Linked DNA regions of Drosophila melanogaster. The protein of the gene in region 2 interacts with the protein of the main gene of each other region in a pairwise test. Each region holds a gene or a part of one and is shown on either strand. Other genes may lie near its edges.

Evidence for each region.
Region 1: the proteins of GstE1 (region 2) and CG17486 interact in a two-hybrid assay, tested with the Drosophila melanogaster proteins (one large-scale study listed by BioGRID).
Region 3: the proteins of GstE1 (region 2) and Fpps interact in a two-hybrid assay, tested with the Drosophila melanogaster proteins (one large-scale study listed by BioGRID).
Region 4: the proteins of GstE1 (region 2) and FER interact in a two-hybrid assay, tested with the Drosophila melanogaster proteins (one large-scale study listed by BioGRID).

The regions. Positions count from the first base shown.
Region 1 is NT_033778.4:4,615,824-4,621,913, reverse strand, and holds CG17486 (uncharacterized protein), read right to left. Parts: upstream 2,885-6,090; 5' UTR 2,849-2,884; coding exon 1,154-2,848; 3' UTR 1,081-1,153; downstream 1-1,080.
Region 2 is NT_033778.4:18,395,732-18,400,622, reverse strand, and holds GstE1 (glutathione S transferase E1), read right to left. Parts: upstream 2,231-4,891; 5' UTR 2,192-2,230; coding exon 1,517-2,191; 3' UTR 1,400-1,516; downstream 1-1,399. Other genes in the region: GstE2 (glutathione S transferase E2), read right to left, coding at 434-1,099; GstE10 (glutathione S transferase E10), read left to right, coding at 3,158-3,880.
Region 3 is NT_033778.4:11,304,258-11,310,267, reverse strand, and holds Fpps (farnesyl pyrophosphate synthase), read left to right. Parts: upstream 1-2,739; 5' UTR 2,740-2,825; coding exon 2,826-3,007; intron 3,008-3,308; coding exon 3,309-3,403; intron 3,404-3,476; coding exon 3,477-3,688; intron 3,689-3,747; coding exon 3,748-4,109; intron 4,110-4,169; coding exon 4,170-4,396; intron 4,397-4,456; coding exon 4,457-4,638; 3' UTR 4,639-4,757; downstream 4,758-6,010. Other genes in the region: CG7745 (uncharacterized protein), read right to left, coding at 743-2,112, 2,171-2,321; CG7741 (uncharacterized protein), read right to left, coding at 4,776-4,917, 4,973-5,130, 5,189-5,517, 5,576-5,684, 5,743-6,010.
Region 4 is NT_033777.3:9,390,700-9,397,483, reverse strand, and holds the start of FER (FER tyrosine kinase), read left to right. Parts: upstream 1-2,937; 5' UTR 2,938-3,243; exon of another isoform or gene 3,244-3,594; intron 3,595-4,511; 5' UTR 4,512-4,547; coding exon 4,548-4,743; intron 4,744-6,410; coding exon 6,411-6,598; intron 6,599-6,784.

The DNA.
Region 1 (6,090 bases), about 14 Mb from region 2:
ATACCGTATATAAATCGGTCCGAAAATGTTGTCAGAGATGTAAAAACAATTCCGCCAAAATGTCACCATTGCCACCTGCCAGGGTCGCCATGAAGCCATTTACCTACACCGGGGTAGATTTTTTGGATATATCCTCGTGACCGTGGGAAAAACGTTCAATTAGAAATATACTACAGCTTGGATACCAGCTCTTGTGCGATGTGTCTTACTAACTTAATGTCTCGACGAGCAACACCGAAGAAAATATTCTCAGATAATGGCACAAATTTCAACGGAGAAGGTGGGGAAGGAAGAACTAAAAAGGTGGACTTTGGAAAACTTCTTGTTAAATATGACCAGATTAAGTTGCCCAAGAGAGAGTTGTAATGCGATATCAACGGAATGATTTTTTAAAGCTCTTAAAAATGTTCTAAATCTAGTTTTCGACCTTGTTGCGAATTTTTAATCTAAATGTTTCTTGAAGATCAACGATCAGAACATGAAGAACGTAATCGTCCGCTATTATATATTACAGTCGCCTTGCATTTTAACAATGTCAATATGTCAAGAGTAAGATGGAACTTACAGCAAACTGGCGCAAATTAGGGGCAACAGTCCGTTACTCACCTATATCCGCGCTCAAATACAACTATATTTGCAATCTTGTATGGTAAACAAACGTAATTTGCAATTTTCATTGCACCTTGTTTAAAAATTGTCAAAATTTTGTAGTCCTGAAAACGCTCTCTGTAGCTAAAGTGATTTAATAAATTTTTAAATAAATGTGTATGATTTGCACTGAGAATTGTTTATGCAGAAATCACCCAAGCTTATCAATTTGCTATTTTAAATACCACGACGATTTTAGAATGATCGAAGTCTATTTTCTGTTGGCTACAGATATAATTGAGCATAGCTACGCGTATGCATATGTTACAAAAGTGAACGACAAGAGACTTCATTGCAGAGAAACAGAGAGAAAGAGGAGCTTAGAGGCTCCCGCAACTTCCCAGCTTATTTACATAAGTAGATAACGAGCATAACTGTGCCTCCAAAGTGTGCGATAAAAAAATTACGATCAGGCTGGAATCGTCGTAAATTATTGTGAAATCAGTTAAACTTTTTATTTATTGATAAGATACCATAACATACACGAATATTTTACAAGCTTAAGTTAAAGATTATCAGATTGATGAGAGCCATTTTGTTTTTTGTTTGCAATTCGGGACCCAAATTGAATAGCCCTTTTCTTTAAGAACACAACATCTCGCAAACCGATTTGATAGCCATACAGTCTCAGAAGTAATTTATCGCCGACTCCTTCCGGGAAACCAAAGCAACATTTTTGATACACTTCTAACGATCTTATAAATTTTACAAAGTTCTCTTCGATGAATGGGGATCTTGCTGTTTTACCAGTATCTGCAATAATGCGGTCATCTCTGGCTAAATTACGGGCCGAAATACGTTGCCAGTCCCTTTCAAGTTCGTTTTGCACAGCAAGTTGGCGCTCCAGATCGTTTCCCAGACAACGGCTATAACTGTTGCGATAGCGGGTATACCCACCAAATAGTTCATCTGCCCCGCTTCCGATAAGAGCGACTCTAGCAGTAGAGTGAGTGCAATGCGAAGCAAACCAGAAGGCACATCCAAGACTCTCATCTAATACCGTATCTAGCGGATATATAAGATGCTTTATACGTGATGTTAGGTGCTGCTGCAATTCAAGTCGAGTTACATTCACTTTCAGTAGATTCCAGCACCTCTCCGGACAAAGCTGTTTTAGTTCATTGACAGATACTAATGACGTTTTTCTATCTGGTACATCAAAAAGCTTTTCCGATATATTTTGGCCCTTAACGCTTTCGAAAGCAACATTAATAAGTTCGATGGGTTCATTTACTGGTACAAATTGGTTGGCCAGCAAGGCCAAAATTGTACAGTCAAGGCCACCCGAAAATAGAATACACAATTTTGCGTGTCTGCATGGAGGCGATATATTTAATTTTTGCATGCAGAGTCTGCAAAATGGAGCCATGTTTCTAACACGATTTTTTATCGAATCGGATAGCAGTGTATGGAGAATAGATAGAGTATACTTAATTTCTGACTGATCTATTAAGTTTTTATAAAGGTTCACGTTATTCTTGATGTATTGAAATTCATAGAAGTTATAACTAAATGCGGGGTTGCAATTTAACATCCAATCTGGCGACATTGGACTCTCTACTGCAGTTTTCCACCCAATCGCAAGATCAAGGTTGCGTAAAAGCTGAGTCGAATAATTATTGAGGGGCTGCCATGGATACAATACGCACGAATTCAGATCATTTAGTTTAACTCGAAAAAGACCCAATGGGGGCAATTCCAGTGATATTTTTTTATCTTCAAAATGTGATGTGCTCAATAATTGGAAGCCATTACAAATGCGTTCAATTAATAGTGAATTTCTTCCAAGTGCGTCGCGACTAAAGTAAAGGATTTGTTCTCGTTTGTCATAAATTATTAAACAATGTGGTCCCTCCAATCGCTTAAGTATCTTCAAAATATTCTGTTCTTTACAACGGCATTCAGCTAGCCTTTCCGCTATCCAAGTCGTGTCAGACATATATTCAGGCTTTGAAGTATTGTAAATGTCTCCATTGAAAAGAAATATAAAATCGTCCTCCACCACAGGTTGCTTTTGTACACTTTCCCCTTGTTGCCATAACACGAAGCCAGCAAATAAAATTTTTCCAAAACAATAATCTATAACCACCTCGTCTTGCACATCAGGACCGCGGTTTTTCAGAATTACTTTCAGAGCGCTAGAAATATTAAAGGAGTTTAAAGGAACATTGTTCACGACTGAACAAAATATTCCACACATTATTGACGTTTGTATAGAAAAGTTATCAAAGAAATATATTGGTAGATCTATCAGGTATAAATCTATCTTTAACCATAAACAATTAAAGTGTGTGTCAAGATAGCGTCAGCAAGATTGCGGCATTTGAGGAATAGTGGAATATAAAACATGGGACCTTAATAATTAGTGACGAAATCAAGAACAAGAGAGAATGCTATATTCGAATTCTTCGACTATCCGAACTATTCTGGGATATCTATCGCTTGTTAGGGAATAAAATGAGAAAAAATTTAAAAACTATTCAAAAATGTGGACGTGACAGTTTTGCGCGGTTTTAGGTCTTTAATTTGCAAATCTTTTGGCAAATCGATAGAAATATACAAAACCAATAAAATTATGAAAAAATATCCAACAATTTTTCAAAAAATGTGGACATGGCAGTATTGGGCGGTTTAAGGCGGTATAGTGGGTGTGGCAAATTTTTTTTTTAGCAAATCGATAAAAATATACAATGCTAACAAAAATTTAACAATATCAACAAATTTATCAAAGTGTGATCAGCGAATCTAGTATACCCTTTTACAGATATGTTGAGATTGGAATGAACTTTCGATTTACATACATATTTACGCCTAAAGACATTAGAATAACAAGATGCGTAATAGGGCATAACACCATTCTCTTTGTTTGCAATTAGAGTATCCATTCGTTTTACTGCCTATTCAGAATACATGGCATTCAGTTGGTCGCGTTCTCTTTGCGTTCACTTCGTATGTATTCGGACTTTAAGGAGTCCAATCGAAATGAACTAACTGAATGTCTTCAAAGAATGAATGAAACGAATGATTTTTCAATGGTAATTCAGAGTACTCTGAATTCCTAATGTTGTCATTGGGTAAAATGAGTTCGGATAGCGCGGATGAAGTCAAAGTTGGTTTTTTTTATGTTTATGGTTATTATAACAATATAATAATATTGTAGCATTTGTCTTATATAGATTATTTAGCGATCTTACCAAATTGTGTTGTCAATTTTGAATATTTTAAATGGTATAGTAAAAAAAAAATAATAGAATCGTTTGTATATCTAACATCAGGCGACGCATTGTTTATCGAGGCTTGGTGGAACGATTATAAAAATATGTTCCCAAACTTATATAAAGCCAGTTGCAAAATTTTTTGCATACCACCAACAAGCGCTGCCTCTGAAAGAGCATTTTCAGACGCTCGATATTTAATAAAATACAAACGTTCTGCCATCTCTCTAAATTGAGAAAATATTAATAAAATAATGTTTCTTAATAATAATATTGAAAATTAAAAATTAGTATATTTATAAAATAAGAATATAATGTATTATCATTTAATTAATAATGAATAATAATATAAAAACACGAACTAAGCATACTATAACTGTCTTTTATTGAAACTAACACGCACATAGTATGTGCAAAGACACTAGAATAACAAGATGCGTAACGCCATACGATTTTTTGGCACACGAGCGAGAGCTCTTTTCTACGCATACAGTAATAGCAGACAACTGCATGTGTGCACACTTATGCTCATGCATTGTAAATTTGACAAAATATGCCCTTCACCTTAGAAGTTCTTGGACTTTATATCTATATTATTTTTGATCAATTGGCACTATGCGAAAAATTCTTGTTTTGCATTGCCTTAACGTAAAAAAAATAAAAAAAATAAATTTTAAAAATGACTATATTAGATTAGTTGTCATTAGAGTATTAGATTTATTTTACTACTGTTATGAAATATTTATTTCTAAATGTAATGTCTTGTTGGATAATTTATGTTTTAACTTACAGTAGTTATAATAATTTCCTTTGTATTTGCTTTAATTATTTCGTATATTTATTTAGTCATTTGACCTAATATGATGTATGTAAATGATCAATTTTTATTATTTAAAATTCACATTAGATTTAGTTGTTTTTCAGTTTCATTTTTTTTATTCCAATTTGATATTTTTAAAAAGCTCTCAATTTCATCATATTGCTACGAAATTGGCCAAAACTCCACAAATGTGTAAATTCGTTTCTTCGATCAGAATTGATTTCGGCCCGAAAATCGTCTTCTAACACAACATGCACACATATACGCGTTCTCGTCTCTTGTTTTTACTCACACCAGCAAGCAAATTCTATTTTTAGATTTCTTACGCTCTCATCGTAAGCGAGCGGAAAGAGAGTAATTTTGGCCGTCACCAAAAAAGTGGCTGCCTAGTGCCAAACCAATGTATGGCCGTTACGTATCTTGTTATTCTAGAGTCTTTGGTAGGTGCGAATGTGCACATACGCAGACAAGACATTCGAAACACCCAATTACTTTACTCGGACTTCACTTCATTCGTTTCAGAATGTGCCGATCAAATTGAATGAATTGATGTCGGCAACGAGCGCGTTTAAATGCACGATCACTTGCGAAACGAGCCGAATTCACTTAGTTCATTTCAGCACGACTGTTATATTGAATGGTTTGAATGGTGTTATGCAGCCCTCTAATGCGTAACGGCCATACATTGGTTTTGCCAAAGACACTAGAATATTCTAGTGTCTTTGGTTTTGCACTATGTAGCCACTTTATTAGTAGTGTCGCCCAATATTGTTCTCACTCCAATCGCGGTAAATTGAGAACGTAATAATCTTTATATAGAATCTATAGAATGAGCGTGTTTATACAATAAACGAGTAACTGTGTACTCGTGCTTAAAGACGGGCCGAACATAATTTTTATCCAAAAAACGAAATTACATATTTAGAGTTATGGGCAAATTCGTTGTAAAATGGTCTACTACTACATATAAAGAAATTTTAATTTTTATTTATTATTTATTATTTATTATTTATTATTTATTTTTTATTATTTATATTATATTATATTATATTATTATATTATATTATATTATTATTATATTATATTTATATTATTTATTTTTATTAATTAATAATAAGTATAATGACTCTGACGACAAACTTCAACAGCTAGACTGTGAGCAGTGAGAGAAGATTACAGCATCAACATAAAGTTCATTATTATTTTATTATTTAAACAAAGTAGTAATTTTTTTTGTAAGTTCAAATAAAATATTTCTAAACTAGAAAATAAATTCCCAAAAACATATTTCATAAAAATAATACAAAAATACACATTTAAAAAGTAAAGTTAAAATTTGTAAAATAAATAAATATTGGCGACTAGTTTCGTACAAAATTAATTTGCTGAGGCACAACGTGCGGTCAT
Region 2 (4,891 bases):
ATACTCAATGCTTGGAACCCACATATCTCTTAGCTGTCGTATACGTAATATATATACACTTCACGTTTTAAAGCTTTACAATACAGAGCGCTTTTGGTCACATATTAAACATTTCTATTTGTTTACTCATCGTTTTGGGATTTAAAGACCATTGTCATAATTTAACCGATAAGCCAGTTGATTATATTAAACAGTGAAACAGCAATTTTTGGAAATTAACTATCTATAAGCAAAAAACTGATCATTTAAGTTTTTCCATCTATATATTTCTCTTTTATTATTTCTCTCTTTAGGATTCAGTACGTAATGATAGTTTTATTATGATTCTAAAAATGATAGGTTTTTGTTACAAATCAGTTGTAGTACTATTCGATTTGATTTGTTTTTATGGTATTTATGGCATTTGATGGTATTTTTTTTTTAATACAAATTACTATTGCTCCAGATTTAATACGGGTTTCAATAAATTGATATACTTCTTCAAGCCCCGCAGATTGTCTTCCTCATAGTGGGGCAACTTAGAGAGTCGTTCGAACCAAGCAGCCACCTTTGGATACTTTAACTCATCCAGATCAAGAACAGCGGCCAGCGAGGATGCAGTAGCTCCGCAGCATAAATCAGCTATGGTCAGTTGCGACCCGGTCAAATAGGGATTATCCCCTAGAAAGTTCTCCAAATGGCCATATGCATCTTTAATGTTGTCCACCTTCTCCTTGGGTACCAGGCTTACTTGGCGAAGAAAATAGGGTATACTGACATTTCGCAGCGACATAAACAGAATGCTGGCATCAAAGAACAAACGCTGATCCACCTGGGCGCGCAACACCAGATCCCTGGGATATAGCTCATCCGAATTGGCATACTTGTCCACCAGGTAGCAGACAATAGCATGTGAATCCCAGATAAGGGCACCATTATCTTCGAGGAGTGGTACGGTGTGCTGCGGGTTCTTTTTGAGGAACGCATCCTTAAAGTGATCTCCTGCCAGTAGATCCATTTCCTTGTATTCGTAGTCCAAGTTTAAGGCCCGCAAGGTCAGCTTGCAAGCGCGAACAGGAGGACTAATATCCATGCCATACAAAACCAATTTATCCGACATGATGCGATCACCAGAGAGACCCAAGTTCCACTAAATTTGCCACACACAGAAATCTAAACGAGCTTAACTAAACAACCCAATTGGGTGCGCTGAGCTTGCCCCATTTGTATCTTAAATAAACTTTTGTAATTGTACACTGACGATATCATAAATGAGCGATAAAAATATTACGGTCGGGTTCCCCAACTGTGAGATAATAATTACTGACTCAAGTCCCATATTAAAGTTTATAAATTTCAGTATTTATTATAAATTCAAATATTTAAATAAATATAAATTAAATAAAAAAATAAATTAAATATTTTATATATATGTTATATTTTATTGAAGAAGTTTACGTTTTAGAAATGGATGTGTATGTTGTTAATTGATGGAATTCAAACTTGTGAAATGTCATATTTAAATATAAGTTTAGTTTCACTTGTCGCCCAGCTTGGTCCACTTGCTGCGCAGGAAGGCGACGTAGCTCTGGGCCGGAGCTTCGTTGATCTCCTTGTAGTAGGGCAGCTTATTGAGGCGATCCAACCAGGCGGTGACCTTGGGATATGTAGCAGGATCTATGTCCACGGCAGCGGGCACGGCGCTTACAGTGGGTCCGGTGGACAGATCGGCTAGGGTTAGCGAATCGCCGGCCAGGTAGGGGCTGTTGCCCAGGAACGTCTCCAGCAGCTTCAGACCCTGGTGTACGGCGTCCAGTTTTTCCTGGGGCACTTCGGTAACACCGTTTATCCAAAACGGGCGGCTGACATTGGCTATACTGGCATAGATTACACTGGCATCGAAGAAGAGACGCTGATTGACGATCGCACGCTTGGCCAGATCCTTGGGATACAGCTCATCCGACTTGGCATACTTGTCCACCAAGTAGGCGGCAATGGCATGGGAGTCCCAGATGAAAGTGCCATTATCATCGAGCATCGGTACCGTGTGTTGGGGATTCTTCTTCACATATTCCTCGCTCAGGTGCTCGCCCGCCTGAAGATTCACCTCCTTGTACTCGTAGTCCAGATTCAGGACCTTTAGGGTAAGTTTGACGGTCCTCACACAGGGACTGAGATCTGTCCCATAGAGTACAATTCCAGAGCTCGACATGATACGTGTTGTTTACCCGTCAGTGTTTTTCTTTCGACTGATCTCTCTATTTACTGTACATATATACACACCTTATTGCCTCAAGCTTTTTGCTAAATGAGAGAGCATTTCGTAAATCTAAGATAAAAGCTCGAAACCATGTGTTAAACAGTTAAAAAAAAACCATATATATAATATGTATGCCTATTTCATCATAACAAACATTAATTACCCCCAACTGATAGTTCTGGAATCATCTATATGATACTAATTTTAAAACACCATATGCAGTGGTGAACTACAAAAAACATATACTCATCAAAAACAAAGTAGGTCTCTGTGAACTCAGGAACATTGGTTGTCAGAAGAAATTAATTTAATACAGTTACTTGTTTTATGATTTATTGTAATATACATCTATTTGAATCATGTAGAACCCATGTAAATTTACAATTCAAGTCTTCCTAACGAAGCTTGAAAGTTTCTAAAAGCTTAAAGCTTAAGTTAAGCTGGCATAAAGCTTATCGTTATTTTGGATAAAATTGTATGATCTGATACACAGAAGTAATAATATTAAACTCATAATTTTATAATTATATTTATATGAAAATGTTTGCATAGAAACACTGCTAATGAGTCTGGTTACTTTAGGTTTCGTTTGGACGTTTCTAGCAGTGTATATAAGTAGCCCCTTTGGTGCTCCAACTATGATCAAATAAATCACGGGGACATTGATCAAATATTGACACAGCTAATAGATAGCAGACCGACTTATCCCGGACATTAATAAACAATCAGGCAAACTTAAACTTGCAGCATTATGACGTCTTTGTGGTAATTATCAAGAAACTAAGTTTAATATCTAATCTTATCGCGTTTGAAAGAAATTTAAATTATTTAGACTGCCTTGAGTCAGTTGTGGATGGCACACTGTCTGCTACGAATCTCAATTCAACCAGCTAGAAGGCAATTAGTTAAGCAACCACAATGGCTAACCTGATTCTATATGGCACTGAGTCCAGTCCGCCGGTCCGTGCCGTTTTGTTGACCCTTCGTGCCCTCCAGCTGGACCATGAATTCCATACGCTGGACATGCAGGCCGGCGATCATCTGAAGCCGGATATGTTACGCAAGAATCCCCAGCACACGGTACCCATGCTGGAGGATGGTGAGTCATGCATTTGGGACTCACACGCCATCATCGGCTATCTGGTGAACAAGTACGCCCAGTCGGATGAGCTCTATCCAAAGGATCCGCTGAAGCGAGCTGTGGTGGATCAGCGGCTGCATTTCGAGACCGGTGTCCTTTTTCACGGCATCTTCAAGCAATTGCAGAGAGCTCTGTTCAAAGAGAATGCCACTGAGGTGCCCAAGGATCGTTTGGCTGAGTTGAAGGATGCCTACGCCTTGCTGGAGCAATTTCTGGCGGAGAATCCCTATGTGGCCGGTCCTCAGCTGACCATCGCCGATTTTAGCATTGTGGCCACCGTGAGCACTCTGCACCTGAGCTACTGTCCCGTGGATGCGACCAAATACCCCAAATTATCCGCCTGGTTGGCACGTATCTCCGCATTGCCCTTCTATGAGGAGGACAACTTGAGAGGAGCCCGCTTGTTGGCCGATAAGATTCGCTCCAAGCTGCCCAAGCAGTTTGACAAGCTGTGGCAAAAGGCCTTTGAGGACATCAAGAGCGGAGCTGGAAAACAGTGATGCGGAAGCCATTGTCGCATCGAAAAGAGAGCATTGCCCAAAGTAAAATTGTATGTTAAATGGTATTTAATATGATGTATTAAAACTTACGCTGCTGGCAAAATGATTTAAAATGTATATTATGTTTGAATAATCTTCTTTTTTTCCCAGTGTATAGGCTCACTATATACTGTTCTGAGTTAACTGAAGACTTTGTAGCCATCTAAGTGCTCTTGGCCGGTAAATGTCCTTGATGGCGAACATTTTTTTTATGTTGTATATAAATTACTATCTAGCGTGGAGTGCATTTCCAATGGCAACGCAGCCAAAAGTTTACAACTTTTTTGCGCTCATTAAAATTATAAAATTTTACCCTCCACAAAAGCGACACAAAATAGAAGAGGGCGGGGTAAATGAAAAGCGCAAAGTTTTCCTGCCGTGTCGTGCATGCTAAAGTTGTTAAATCATAATTAATTTATGACGGCGCCATCCGCCCAAGCAGCTAGCCAGCCCAGCTCCGCAGCAAACCCAACTCGCCCCCGTTTTATGCCACTTCCAAATTTGCCTCTTATCTGCGCTCGGGTCTCGAACTCCCCGCCCTTCGCTTGCTCCAAGTCCACAAAAAGGACGCGCCGTCGTTTAAAATACTCTTAAAAAAGGAGCCAAGTCTAAATACCTGCTGGGTGAAGTCCGTTTCCAAGCCCCACGGAAGTCCTGCAGGAGATGCTAACGTGAGCGGAAATTGGAGTCACGCAATCCGAAGATATTTCTTATGAAGCAAAAATTCCAAAACTTTTTGTTTTTATTTTGCAGATGTATGGAAATCTATAAAAAGTACATGAATTTTCCATTTGTTTCTTACTTATTTTCAATTTCTTCCCTACTTATAAACCTTTGTTGGCCTTAAAACACAAATTTTTTTAAAGCATTCCCTTCCTATTTAAGCCCCAAAGAAAAGAAAAAAAATCATAAGCTTTAACGTTTTTAGAAACTCGTGACTACTTTGTGGGCATCTCAGGAACTTACCTTGTG
Region 3 (6,010 bases), 7.1 Mb from region 2:
GATTGCAATTGCAGTGGCACTTTGAATGGCCGCTTGGCCAGTCGAGGGTTAACGAGCTAGGCCAATTGCCAGTTGCAGTGGCAGTTTCCGTTGCAGACAGTAGCCAGCGGGTCTTAGTAGTTGCAATTGCATCCCGCTTTGTGGGTAATCGGAGGGTTGGTCAAAGGCCACTCATAAATCAAGCAGCAGGACGGCTACTGAACATAACTGAAATTGGACCTCAGTGGGTCACGAAGCTTTACATATCATTAGGAACTACTTTCTTTATGATGACTACACTACTTTCGCATATGCGGTTGTAAACTTTCGTGCCGAAAATTCCACTATCAGCATGCGAAAATGGATCACATCCAGAGAAAACTTACCACAAAGCATCGTAGCATCCATTCCTGACCCCTTTTAACAAAAATGCCCAAATACACATAAATTGCAAATTTTCACATTGGAAAGACACTTTTCCATTGAGTACACTTTAATAAGAATTTAAATAAATTAAAACCGATCATTATATTCTTAAACATATATAAAAAAACATAAATTAATGCAGATATGGAATCCCAATTGCTGGTCTTGACTAGCACATTTGAAAAGTGTTCGGTAGAACGTAGAGCTTTGCAAATGACTCATTGGTGGGAAATTTGACCAAAGCGATGCAATTACTATTATCTGACAACCGTCTAACGAATAACATAAGTTAAGGATAATAGATTACATTATTTACAAATACCTAGTAGCTAGCCCTTTAATCGTCGAAGAATAGTATTTCTAGGATCCGTTTCTGTGCACTTTTCTTCCGTTCCTTGTTCATTTTCAGCAGTTCCGTGGTGACTAATTCTCCCAGCAAATGCTCAGACAACCGCTGCACACCCGGATGATTGGGCGGCGCCTGGAATTTCCCGAAGTTTGCGGGATGCGAACTGCTGGCCTGATGTGGGAACTGCTGGTATAACTGGAAAAGGAAGTCCGTGTTTGACGGAAACATGTTCTGGTGCTGTTGCTGCTGCTGGTTGTTGTGGCTATTATTGCCGCTGGGATTGTTGCTCCCGCTATTGCTGCTACTGTTATTCCCATTTCCATTGCCCCGCTGCATGGGCATCGAATTGCTGTAGTGATTCTCCTGCTGCATCATAGCCTGCGGCTCCATCAGATCATGGCTGTTCTCATCGGATTCGTCGTCCGAGTCATTGCCAAAGTGACTACCATTGCTGGTCATCTGGTTATGGGCATTGCCATTTAGTTGAATACGGGGTTTCTTCATATGGAAATGGCTCGATGACGAAGAGTCTAGACCATCGCCCTTGGGGTTATAGACATGTGACTGTTGCATCTGCAGAGTGGAACTGTTGCCGATGGAAGCGCCCGTGGCGCTGGAAGAGGAATGTACCACCGGAAGCTGCTGTTCAGATGCCGGCGACTGTTGCTGCGCTTGTTGCTGCTGCTGCTGCTGTTGTTGTTGCGTCTGCTGCTGAGGATGATGGGATCCTGCCCCAATTCCTTGCAGCGGCGACGACAGCGGTGATTTCATCGAGGATGATGTTGAGGTCAGACTGCCAGCGCTGTTCTGGGCCCCGTTCATGCCCACGGAGCCATCCTTGTATTGATCCTGATAACCTTGCGAGGAATCAGCCATTACAGCTGCAACGGCCGCCGCCTGTTGCTGCATTTGTGACTGTGATATGTGCTGGAGCTGCTGTGAGGCCACGGCAGCCGCAAAATCCCTGAACACCTGGTCCGCCTCGATCTTCACCTGGCCATTGACGTTTTCCAGCGCAGATGCAGCAACGTTACTCAGAGCACTCATTGCGTGTTGCTGATCCGGCTGGTGGTAAAGATGACTTTGCCCTGAGCTGCCAAACTGAGACACATTCTTCATGGAGCCATTGGACTTATCAACCTGGTATTCGTTGTAGCCGGAGCTGTTGGCGGACTGTGGAGATGTTAGGAAGTTCGGCACATGGCGGTAGGACTTGCGCGGCTGGATGTGCTGGTCCAAGAACTTCATTTTCTCCAGGTATGGACGCGACAGGTGTTCGTAGACAGGTGGATCGCCCTGCTTCCGCTGCGACACGTAGCGTTCGCGTAGGTACTTCCACCGCTTCTTGCACGTGTCCACTGGAAAGGAGGGCAACATTTATATAGAGGATCTGCCGGAGGAGCGCGTCTTCCTCACCATCCGTGCGCAGCTTCATCGCAATCAGCTGCCAGGCCTCGTCCTTCGTCTCGTACTTGCCACCATTGGCGCCGCCGTTGAGGTAGTACTTCTGCCGGTTGTAGATCACTCCGTGCTGCGCTACCTCGTCAATTAGCTGCTCATCCATCATTTTAGTTTAATTCGTGTTTTCAGCTGCCAATTTGCCTTTGGTGTATGTCAGGCCATTTCCAACACTGTTCATGGGACATCGAAACAGTGTGACCGAAAATGTAGCAGCAGAGTGTCAAATATAATTTGAAGATATTGATATCGAAATATATTCGACAATTTGCATCATGTTTAAATTCGTCAGCATTTTGATTTATATATAGTAATGCATTTAATTAATTAACACGCAATAAAATTAATAATTTCAGCAAAAGTAAATCATTTGCTGTTCCTGAATTTACTAAATAAAAATGTTTAAAAATTTAACTTATAAGTTACCTTCACAAAATTCTCGAAAAATAAAAGTCAGCTATAAAATAGTTGCTATAAACGTATTATGGTTATTTGAAATTTTAAGGTGGGTTCTTTTGCGAACCGAGATTCAGTCACACTGGCAATTTGGTACCCGAAGTTGAATTGCCGTTTTGTGAAGCGGATAGTTACCTGCCGATAATCTTAAATAAAAATGTTTAAACTGGCCCGTATGCTCCTGCCGCAGCAGCGGATCCTGGCCAGCCCGCTGCGCCTGCAACGCCTGATCTCTACCAGCGACGAGGTCAACGCAGAGCCCATCATCAAGTCCATGGACACCATTGGCGGCCTCCCCACCGAACTGGTCAACGAACAGAAGCTGAAGAAGACTAGCAGGTAATCAATCTACCGGTTTTCGCACTTGACCTTTGCCTTGCCTGTTTGTTTTGTTTACATTTCGACCGGTATGGGCATGGGCATGGTATGCATGTATCGGAGGCCTGTTTTGGGCGTGATTTTCGAAAAGGAGTTTCGGGGTCTTTTTTTCTTGATTTCAAGTGGGGGAGAAAGTTTGTATCGAGCCGCTTATGCAGTCACGTAGACCATAGATGCGTGCATGTGTGTGTGTATGTATTTGTGCCTGCCTGGTGGTGTCAGTTATGGGCTCTATTGTTCTTGACTTTTGTTTTGTCCACAGAACCTTATCGACGCTCCAAAATCACTCGGTTCCCATTGCCGCTCGCGTCACGGTGTCGAAAGATGAGAGTCGCGACTTTATGGCCGTGTTCCCAGGTGAGATTTGTTTATTTATGCCCAGTAACAATTATCATGCAAATACTAATGCTAATTATATTTCGATGTGCAGATCTTGTGCGTGACATCACCACCGTGACGAAGGCATACAATTGCAGCGACGCAGCCAAATGGTTCGCCCAAGTCCTCCAGTACAATGTGCCCAGGGGCAAGAAGAACCGCGGCATCCTCACCGTGCTCACGTATAAGAATCTAGTGCCCACCCAGGATCTTACGCCGGAGAACATAAAGCTCGCCCAGTATCTGGGCTGGTGTGTGGAAATGGTAGGAGTTTTATGCATTAAATAGTTTTCCTAATACAAAGTTATCGATCATCTTTTCAGCTCCAAAGTTTTTTCATCATCTCAGACGATGTGATGGACAACAGCACCACCAGACGCGGCCAACCCTGCTGGCACAAGGTGGAGAACGTGGGCCTGACTGCCATTAACGATGCTCTTATGATTGAAAACGCCATGTATGCCATTCTCAAGAAGCACTTCAGCCACTTGGACTGCTATGTCGCCCTAATGGAGCTCTTCCACGAAATCACATACATCACTACCTGCGGACAATCGTTGGACCAACTGAACTCGAACCGCTGTGTCTCGGAATTCACAATGGAAAACTACAAAGCAATTGTCGAAAATAAGACTGCCTATTACTCCTTCTACCTTCCATTCGCACTTGCTTTGCACTTGGCTGGGTAAGTAATGGCCATACATATATAAGATTCCGCTTATTAATCTTCCGCTCTATTGTTTAGCTATAAAGACGCAGAGGCCTTCCGTCAATCGAAGACCATTCTCCTAGAAATGGGCAACTTTTTCCAGGTTCAAGATGATTTCCTCGACTGCTTCGGTAATCCGGAAGTGACTGGTAAAATTGGAACCGACATTCAGGACAACAAGTGCTCGTGGCTGGCAGTGGTGGCAATGCAGCGAGCCAATGTCGAGCAAAAGCAAATCATGGTCGATTGCTATGGCAAAGAAGGTAAAACTAGCTTAGCAAACCCGCACAATTAGACATTGACTTTTGAATATTAACCTGCAGAACCAGCTAAAGTGGAGCGAGTGAAAGAACTGTACAAGGAACTTGGACTGCCATCCACCTATGCCATTTTCGAGGAGGAATCCTACAACATGATTAAAACGCACATACAACAAACCTCACGCGGGGTGCCTCACCAGACCTTCCTGCAAATACTCAACAAAATCTACCAACGTGACTCCTAAATTACTCAAGCGCAACGACTTTACGGATACGTTTTTAATTAAATTGTAGTTTTAGCATTTACATGGATGAACTGTTAGCAAGGGCTCAGCAATTACAACCGATATGAACTTTTTACTATACATACAATGTTCTTTGCTTAATCGTCTGTAAAATCAAAGGGCGCAAAAGCCTTTCGGAAATCTTCCACATACGCCACTTCTTCGTCCTTATCGAGAAGGCAATCCTTCCAGTTCACTTTTTCATCGCAGTTAAGAAGATTCTCCGAACAGAACACGTCCCTGAAAAAATGAGTTTAGTCAAGAGTTGGTAGCTTAAATCGAGAAGTTAACGCACCTTGCGAAATGAATGGGAAAGTGTTTCATTTGCCGCGTTATAAGTGTGCTATCGTCGGGTAACTCGGCCAGGAAATAAGGTCCCATTTCAGGCAGCATTTTCTCAGAATCCAATGCGGGAAGTGTCTCAAATTCCAGATTAAATTCCTCCGCCTTATCCTGCAATGTTGTGGGATATACATCATATGTTATAAAAGGTTGAATGTCGTGAGCATACCTCAAAACTATGTTTTATCTTCCAGGCATAGCCTTCTTCAAAGGCAAGCGCGTTGATTTGTAGGTGAACCGATTTATAGTGCCGTTCAGTAAAACACACCACTTGGCCTAACGTTTTGAAGAACTTTCGCAAAGCTGCCTTGAACTTGTTGAGCTCCTTCCAATCATCTGGACTTAGTTGAGCAGCGCAGGGCACATGCTTGGTGGACAATATCATGACATGGTGTTTGTTAATCGGTCCTTTGGCCAGAGCAAGATAAAAATGTTCGCCCACAGTGATAATGAGATGCTTCTCCACATCAGGTGAGGATAAACAGAACCAGCATTTATCTACAAATATAGGAATAGTATTAAGGATGCAGCTTGTAAAATTAAGTACTAGACAAACCTTGCTCAATCTGCGGTATTCTAGGACGTTTATCTCTTTTGTTATTATCACCGCCTTGTCGCTTGCGTCTGCCACCATCCATGTCGTAGAAGTATTGTCGGTTTTCTGACTGAAAGAATATATAATTAGTCACTTGGAGTACTTATAGATATGTAAAGGTTACCCACCGAATCATTCTTGCCAATAGCTCCGCCTAAGTCCAAGCCAATGAAAGGACACGGAATTTCATTTGTTGTCTTCTGCGCTAGGTCCAATAAGCGTGATTTGTCTACTGGCTTCAGGCTGAGTGCATAGATGTACTTGGCTTTTTCGGCATTTCCCACTTCCGCAAGGGAAATGAAGCGAGTGCACAGTTCAAACTGGGTAGTCTCATCTTTGGGCATCCGAAAGGGTGCGCTTTCGTAGTGTGTTCCATTAATGGCACAAAAGTGATAG
Region 4 (6,784 bases), on a different chromosome or scaffold from region 2:
CACTTGTCCATAAAAATATGTACGCATAATAATGCCGTTTGACTGGGAGAAGTAACCGCTTTGGTCCGCGAGCTTGCACTTAATAATTTCCATAAATGAGTTGCCCAGTTTTCTTGGGCGCGTTTACCGTTCCATTGTTGCTGCACTTGTCTTTATTGTTTGCTGCTTTTGTTGTGCACATAAATGAAATTCTTGCACACAGCAACAAATTGGCATGGGAGTCGTCCGCTCAATAGCTTCTATCCGACTTCTGACTGGAATGCTAAGCAGCCGGGCTGCAGCAAAGGAGCTGTCTTGGCTTTTGACATTGGAGCAACCTTCTAACTGAAAGGTGTTACGTCTGGAAAGCAAATAGTTGACATGAAACTGGGGATAACACTTCATAGGGTACTTTACATAGCCAACGGATGCTGATCCTCATAGAGATTCAATGGACAAAGCATCCTCAGATACTTAATGCATCTGAAAGATACCAGATACATTTGTATATCTTGCTCAATGTATCTTAATGGTTTTGTTTTGATCTGGTTACTTCTTCCAGCCCATCAAGCATTTACATACATTTGTCACTGTATTGCACAATTTGCAGCCCGGTCATCTATTGTTCATCAAGTTCCCATTGCCGAATAATTCCGGGCCAACCAGCTATATAAACCGAACATAGATATATGTGCATGTACATATATCCATGAGTTCAGACCCATGTTGAACTTCTCTCATCAATTTTACTGTCTTACACTGCACAAGTCATTTATTCATTAGTTTCAATTGGCCGCCAACTGTTGCCACCCATTTTCTTCTGTTCTTCGAACCGAACAGCTGAAACTGAATGCCCCATATTATAAACGCCAAGAATTGCACTTGCAAACGCAACGCGAACATTAATGGGACATCCGAAGAGATTTATATTTATGTGAGGCAACTATGCGTCACAATAGACCCAGTCTGCTTAAATTAGAATCAGATATTTAGGCCGCCTCACTACTTATAGCAGTGCTCGGTATTCGACTTGTACTAGGGAAACTACGACGAGTAAATAAAGGAATTAAATCCTGTGCAGTCACCAGGACACCGGAAGGTGCCTGGTGTCGCTATCGCCGTCTCACTAAATACTTTATGAGGCCGAGGCGCCTTTGTAAATCTTCCCTTTTTTTTTCTTTTTGCCGTCTGGCTCCAACCAAAATAAACACAGCAATCCGGGACCCGGGACACGGATCCGTTGCATAGACAACGGCAAACACCCTAAAACCCATAAGAAAACACACACAACGGGGAGATGAATGACTGGCTGCCTGGCTGGCGGAACAAAAAGAGCAAGCAGGGCATCTCTGAAATGGGCAACAGGCTGGCCAAGAGACGCACTGAATGGCTGGGTGCAAAGTGGTCTGGCCAAGAGAGGTGGCGAAGGTGGCACGCCATTTGCCCGGCAATCAAATCAATGGGCAGGGGTTTTGTCCTCCAGCATGGTAGCATTAATCGGCATAAAGTACAATATCTCACACCCTTTCGAGTGCCGATGCGATTTCAATATCCATTATTCAGCCGCAGGTGGGGGCGGTGGTGGTGGATTATAGAGTGGATTGGTGGCACTCAAAAAAATATATTTAAAATTAGATTTAAAGAAAACTATAACTATTCTTTCCTAGATTCAATAATAATATATATTCAGCATTACCAAGTACCTTCTAGGATATACCTTCTGGATATATCTGTATTAGTACTAATTAAGTCTCTTGAGTTTATAATAGTATCATTGCATATGGAATTATTTAAATATTTCGTTGGTCTTAAAAAGGGATTGTACCTCTTATTCTACTCTTAAAAGTAAGTCTCATCGCAGTGTAGAACTTTGGCAAACACTGTTTGCATTATGCGCAGAACAGGACTCATCTCTGACCACAAGGACAACAAAGAGCCAGGAGCCGGTGAAGCGACAGGAGCGTCAGAGTTGCTGCGCTTTTCACTTTCCCATTTATTAATGAATTTATTGGCCCGCCTGCTTTTGATGCGCAAATGCATTTTCGCATTTATCCCTGAAACTGACGTTCGACGAAAGCAAGGGGGTGTAAATTAAATGGAGATACCGATGGCTTCCAATTGCGGGGGTGATTGGCCCAGGACGAACAAAGGGTAGATCCACGCATAACATTTATCATAGCTTTTGTTTTGGTTACAGCTCAGCTGCTTCCGTTTCCACAGCGACTCACAGTGGGTGGGTGTTTGACTGGTTGGGTGTTCGTCCTTAGATCCTGTCAGCTGTCCCACGAAAGAGCCGAACCTGCGTAATTAATAGTGCGGAAATTTGGTAATTCTCCGATTACAGCAGTCATTGCTATCTGCCAACGAACAATTATGGGCTGGGTTGGGGAAAAATGTACAGGAAGGAGTATAGAAAAAGTGACCTTTTTTGCTTGAAATGATTGCAATTTTATAGAAAGGTTGTAATTATAAGACAAAAATTATTGATATTTAAGATAGCGAAGTGTTCCTAATTAAGATTCTAAGACATCAAAAAGTTATAGTTATGAAACATTTCATAGGAACACCTAAAAATCAGTACTGTACTATAGTTTTGATACAAATAAGTTTAAATGTTCTTTTGGATGTTCGTGGATCTTCTTTTCTAAAAAAAAAGAAACACAAATATCAGCCTTAAAGGAGAATTTTCTTATATGAAATATATACTTATACCATAAATAATGGGAACGACAGAACGCAAAAGTAAGCAAACATAACTAATCCCGTTGGTGAAACCCACTATTAAGCCTCTTCTGCCTTATGGTGACTTTTATTGTTTGAAAATGTTTGCTGGGTGTTCTGCAACCGGTTTTTCTCACTGTGCTCTCTCTCTCTCTGTTTCTTTCGCCGCACTCGCATTGCTCATTCGCCGCATCGGCCCGAGTGTTTCGAGTATCTCGAGTGTTTTCAGTGCCGGCGCTCAGTTTCCGCTGAACATTCGAGGCGAACGGTTCGCTGTGTTTGGGCCTGCTTTCAATATTCCCCGATTTCCGGACTCGATTCGATCCAATCCGAGCCAAACCAATTCGAGATACTCGGCGCTGAGCTCCATTCGCGATTTTTGAGTTCTGTGGCCATGTGAAGTGCACGCATCTCGAAGTGCCAAAATAAGTTCTGATAAAGCCTTCAAAACGATAACCAGCCTTATTCAATTATGTTTGTGCCAAGAACTGTGCTCTAGTTACGCGATTTGCAAGTGAAATCCGACGGCAAAGAAATTCTGCGGTAAATGTGGTTCCCCTAAAATAGCAAGAAGTGTAGATCGCTTGTAAACATTGTTATTTACATTTTTAATTTATATAACGGTTAAGCATCTTCTTATTGCTGCCGCTGCTACTGTTGTTACTGTTGTTGTTGTTGTTCTGGTTCTGGTGGCTGGGGATGCTCCCCTAGCTGCTGGCTGTCTAACCCGTTTATATCTTTTACTCGACTTGGCAAACTGCACACGCACATACAGACAATGCATCAAGTTGCTGTTCTGGCGCATCCAGCAAATGCACAGCGAAAAAATAGCATGTGATCGATCGTATAAATCAATGTTTATAAATTAATGAGTAAATATACGAAATTCAACACGCAATTTCAATTCTGTGACAATATTTACAAGTGACAACTGATACGATTAGATATCGAACTGCTATTTTTCCTTGTGTATCTTTAAGATACACGTTCTTGCCGCACACACCTTCTGTCGCTTGTGTTTCCTTATTGACTTCGCCCCTGCCCCATGGCTCCTACCCCTCCCCCTACCTCATTCCTCTTCCTTGGGGCAATGTTTATTTTTGTTTGCTCGCCCAGCAAGCGGGAAAAACAAGTTTTTCTCTTTGAAACCAAAACAACAACCACAGCAGCAGCAGCAACTGCGACGCAACTCTTGGCTCGCTTTGCTTTTGGAAAATACTTGGGGAAAAGTTCAAGTGAAGACAACTGTTGCATTCAAAATACCAAAAAAAAAACCAAAAGCACTACAAAATAAATATATACATTCATGTGGAAGTGTCGGTTATGGGTGAGAGCGGAAAATGCGTTAATTAGCGGATAAAAATGCATATGCCAGTGACTCGAATTAAGTCGTTAATCAAACGCCGGGACGAGATCGTGTGTAATTAGCAAATGTCGTGACATATGCAAAAGTAAAAAGTGCCAAAAAAAAAAACACCAAAGAAATGTCAACGCATGTGAAAGTTTATTTTTTGTAAAAAGAAAAACAAAAGTGCTCGTGTGACATAAATAATTAATTTTTAGTGAGGCGATAAAGAAGCAACGCCAGCGAATAACCAAATTGTCATGCAACAAGTGTTTGCCACATGTTCGCTGTGTTTTTTCCTGTGTTTCATGTAGAATTTCCAGCATTCCGCTCTCCCCAGAACAATATCAAAAAACGAAAACATAACCCACGATAAAAACCGCTGTTCTGTTCTGTTCTGTTCTGAATCACTTGCCTATATATAATATCCATTATATGTTATGTTACATATGTGCATATCTCACAGAGAGCCGCGACCCAAATAGGGAGTAACGAGAGCATCATGGGCTTCTCATCAGCCCTCCAAAGTCGCGCCGCCCACGAGGCGCTGATCGTCCGCCAGGATGCCGAACTCCGGCTAATGGAGACAATGAAGCGATCCATCCAGATGAAGGCCAAGTGCGACAAGGAGTACGCCATCAGCCTGACCGCTGTGGCCCAGCAGGGTCTCAAGATCGATCGGGCTGACGAAATGCAAGGTAAGACTACAGGTGCGATAAGATTGTATAGCCAATTATTTGGTCAGTGATACCACCAGTACGTGAAGTACGTTGTCCTCGTGTTACTATTTATTTAGTTCGCTATCTATGAGTTTGCAGAATCGGTTATTAAAGAGTATAAATTAAAACGTAATTTTAGTTTATTTAATCCGGCCCAAAGACCTTAACAATTAGTGCAGTATTATATGCTTGCATTCATATGTTAAAGATAAGTTAAGTTTAAATTGAATTTGGGTGGTGGAGTTTATACAAAACATATGTTCAACATAGTAAAGACAACAATTTATAGCTAAATGGACCGAGTTTCACGATGAGATGCTCGAACCCCATTGACCTCTTGGGCATTACTCACAACATTCACTGGGTGGCCACTGGCCAGTATCATCCATTAGTCAGGGTAAAAGTGCGGCAGTTATATGGCAAGTGTCGATAAGCTGGTGGATGTTATTGTTAATGGCCCCTATATGAGATGGGATGGCATGAAAGCATATCTTGTTCTAAGGGTTGGGAGAGTGAAATACTGTACTGCCCTTCCTGCACTCCATTTGGTGTGATTTTTGGCAGCCTGCTGGGTTTGAGAAACTGGCCACTGGCTATCTCGCGTGACTTGATCGCATTTCCAAGTAAATGAGACGCGTTGGGCTCTACATATTTCAAACGACTCGAGATAATCGCCAGACAAGCAAATCGCTTTCAACTACCGTGCTCTGGGTGGCATAGTCATTTCATCCGGATGCAGCCGGGCAGCCAGGACTCTGGACTAAATTGGCCTGCACACTCGCTGCTTTGCCGTTCTGCGGAGCTCATCAAAGTGTCGACAAAGTGCAGCTGTCTTTTGCTTCTAGCTGCTTCTGCTCCCCTAGAAGATAAACACATGAAAATTGCTATAATTTGCAGGCGATGTCAGTGCTTTTCGCTTGGGAAATGTTTTCCCTGCTGTTTACATGGCCAAACAAACGTATCCGCTGGATGATGCGAATGTACACGCACACCAACCAGTGCACAAAAGCGTAGCCGAATGATTTAGTTCGGGCCATTTGATATAGCCCAACTATATATACAATATACATATATATGTACTTCTCCGACTGTTTATCTGCTTCGCTTCTCACCTTGACCATGAACTTAAATCGCTCGATTTGAGTGCAGTTTACTGTCTAAACTTCAGACTTTGCAGCCTAGCGAAGCGCAAACATTTTAACCAAAAACGAAAAACAAAAAAACCAGAGGAACAGACGTGGGTATTATGTTTCCGATTTGCTCAGCAAATAATTTTCCAAAAATCTGTGCAAGGTATTTGCGTCACTTTTGCATAACGCTGGCTTAAGAAAAATGATTCATTGCACTTTTACCCAACTGTTCAGCGGATAAACTCCAAATGAGTCATATGTCTGGGTAAACTGTGGATTAGTTGCGGTTTACGGGTTTTAAGACTGTGTCTAATGAAGATAGAGACCGTCTTATGACAATTTTCATAATAGCAAATGTAACAGGCAGTTATCACGTAAATGTGGTTGGGAAAATATCATCATTATCATCATATACTGCAGATTACTATCCTAAAACCATAAGTTCAGTTTATATAAAAAATGTCATGTAATCACATGAGTGTTACTAATGCGTGTTAGCCTTCTATCCCTTTGCAGGCAGCCTGATCTCCAAATCCTGGCGATCCTACATGGATGAACTGGACCACCAGGCCAAACAGTTCAAGTTCAACGCGGAGCAGCTGGAGGTCGTCTGCGATAAGTTGACCCACCTCTCGCAGGACAAACGGAAGGCCAGAAAGGCCTACCAGGAGGAGCATGCCAAGATCGCAGCACGCCTGAATCATGTGAGTGTCTCGGTCAACACCTTGAATACCCATTAGACATTAGAACACCCGACGCGCCCAGTTCAGACAGCATATGAATTATCGAAAAAAAAAAAACGGTGCACTGAGAACAAATGTGGGGTTAGTTAGAAGGTAGATTCTTGTCTTTCTATTTCGATCGTCCTGCTTAAAGCCTCCACTTAAATG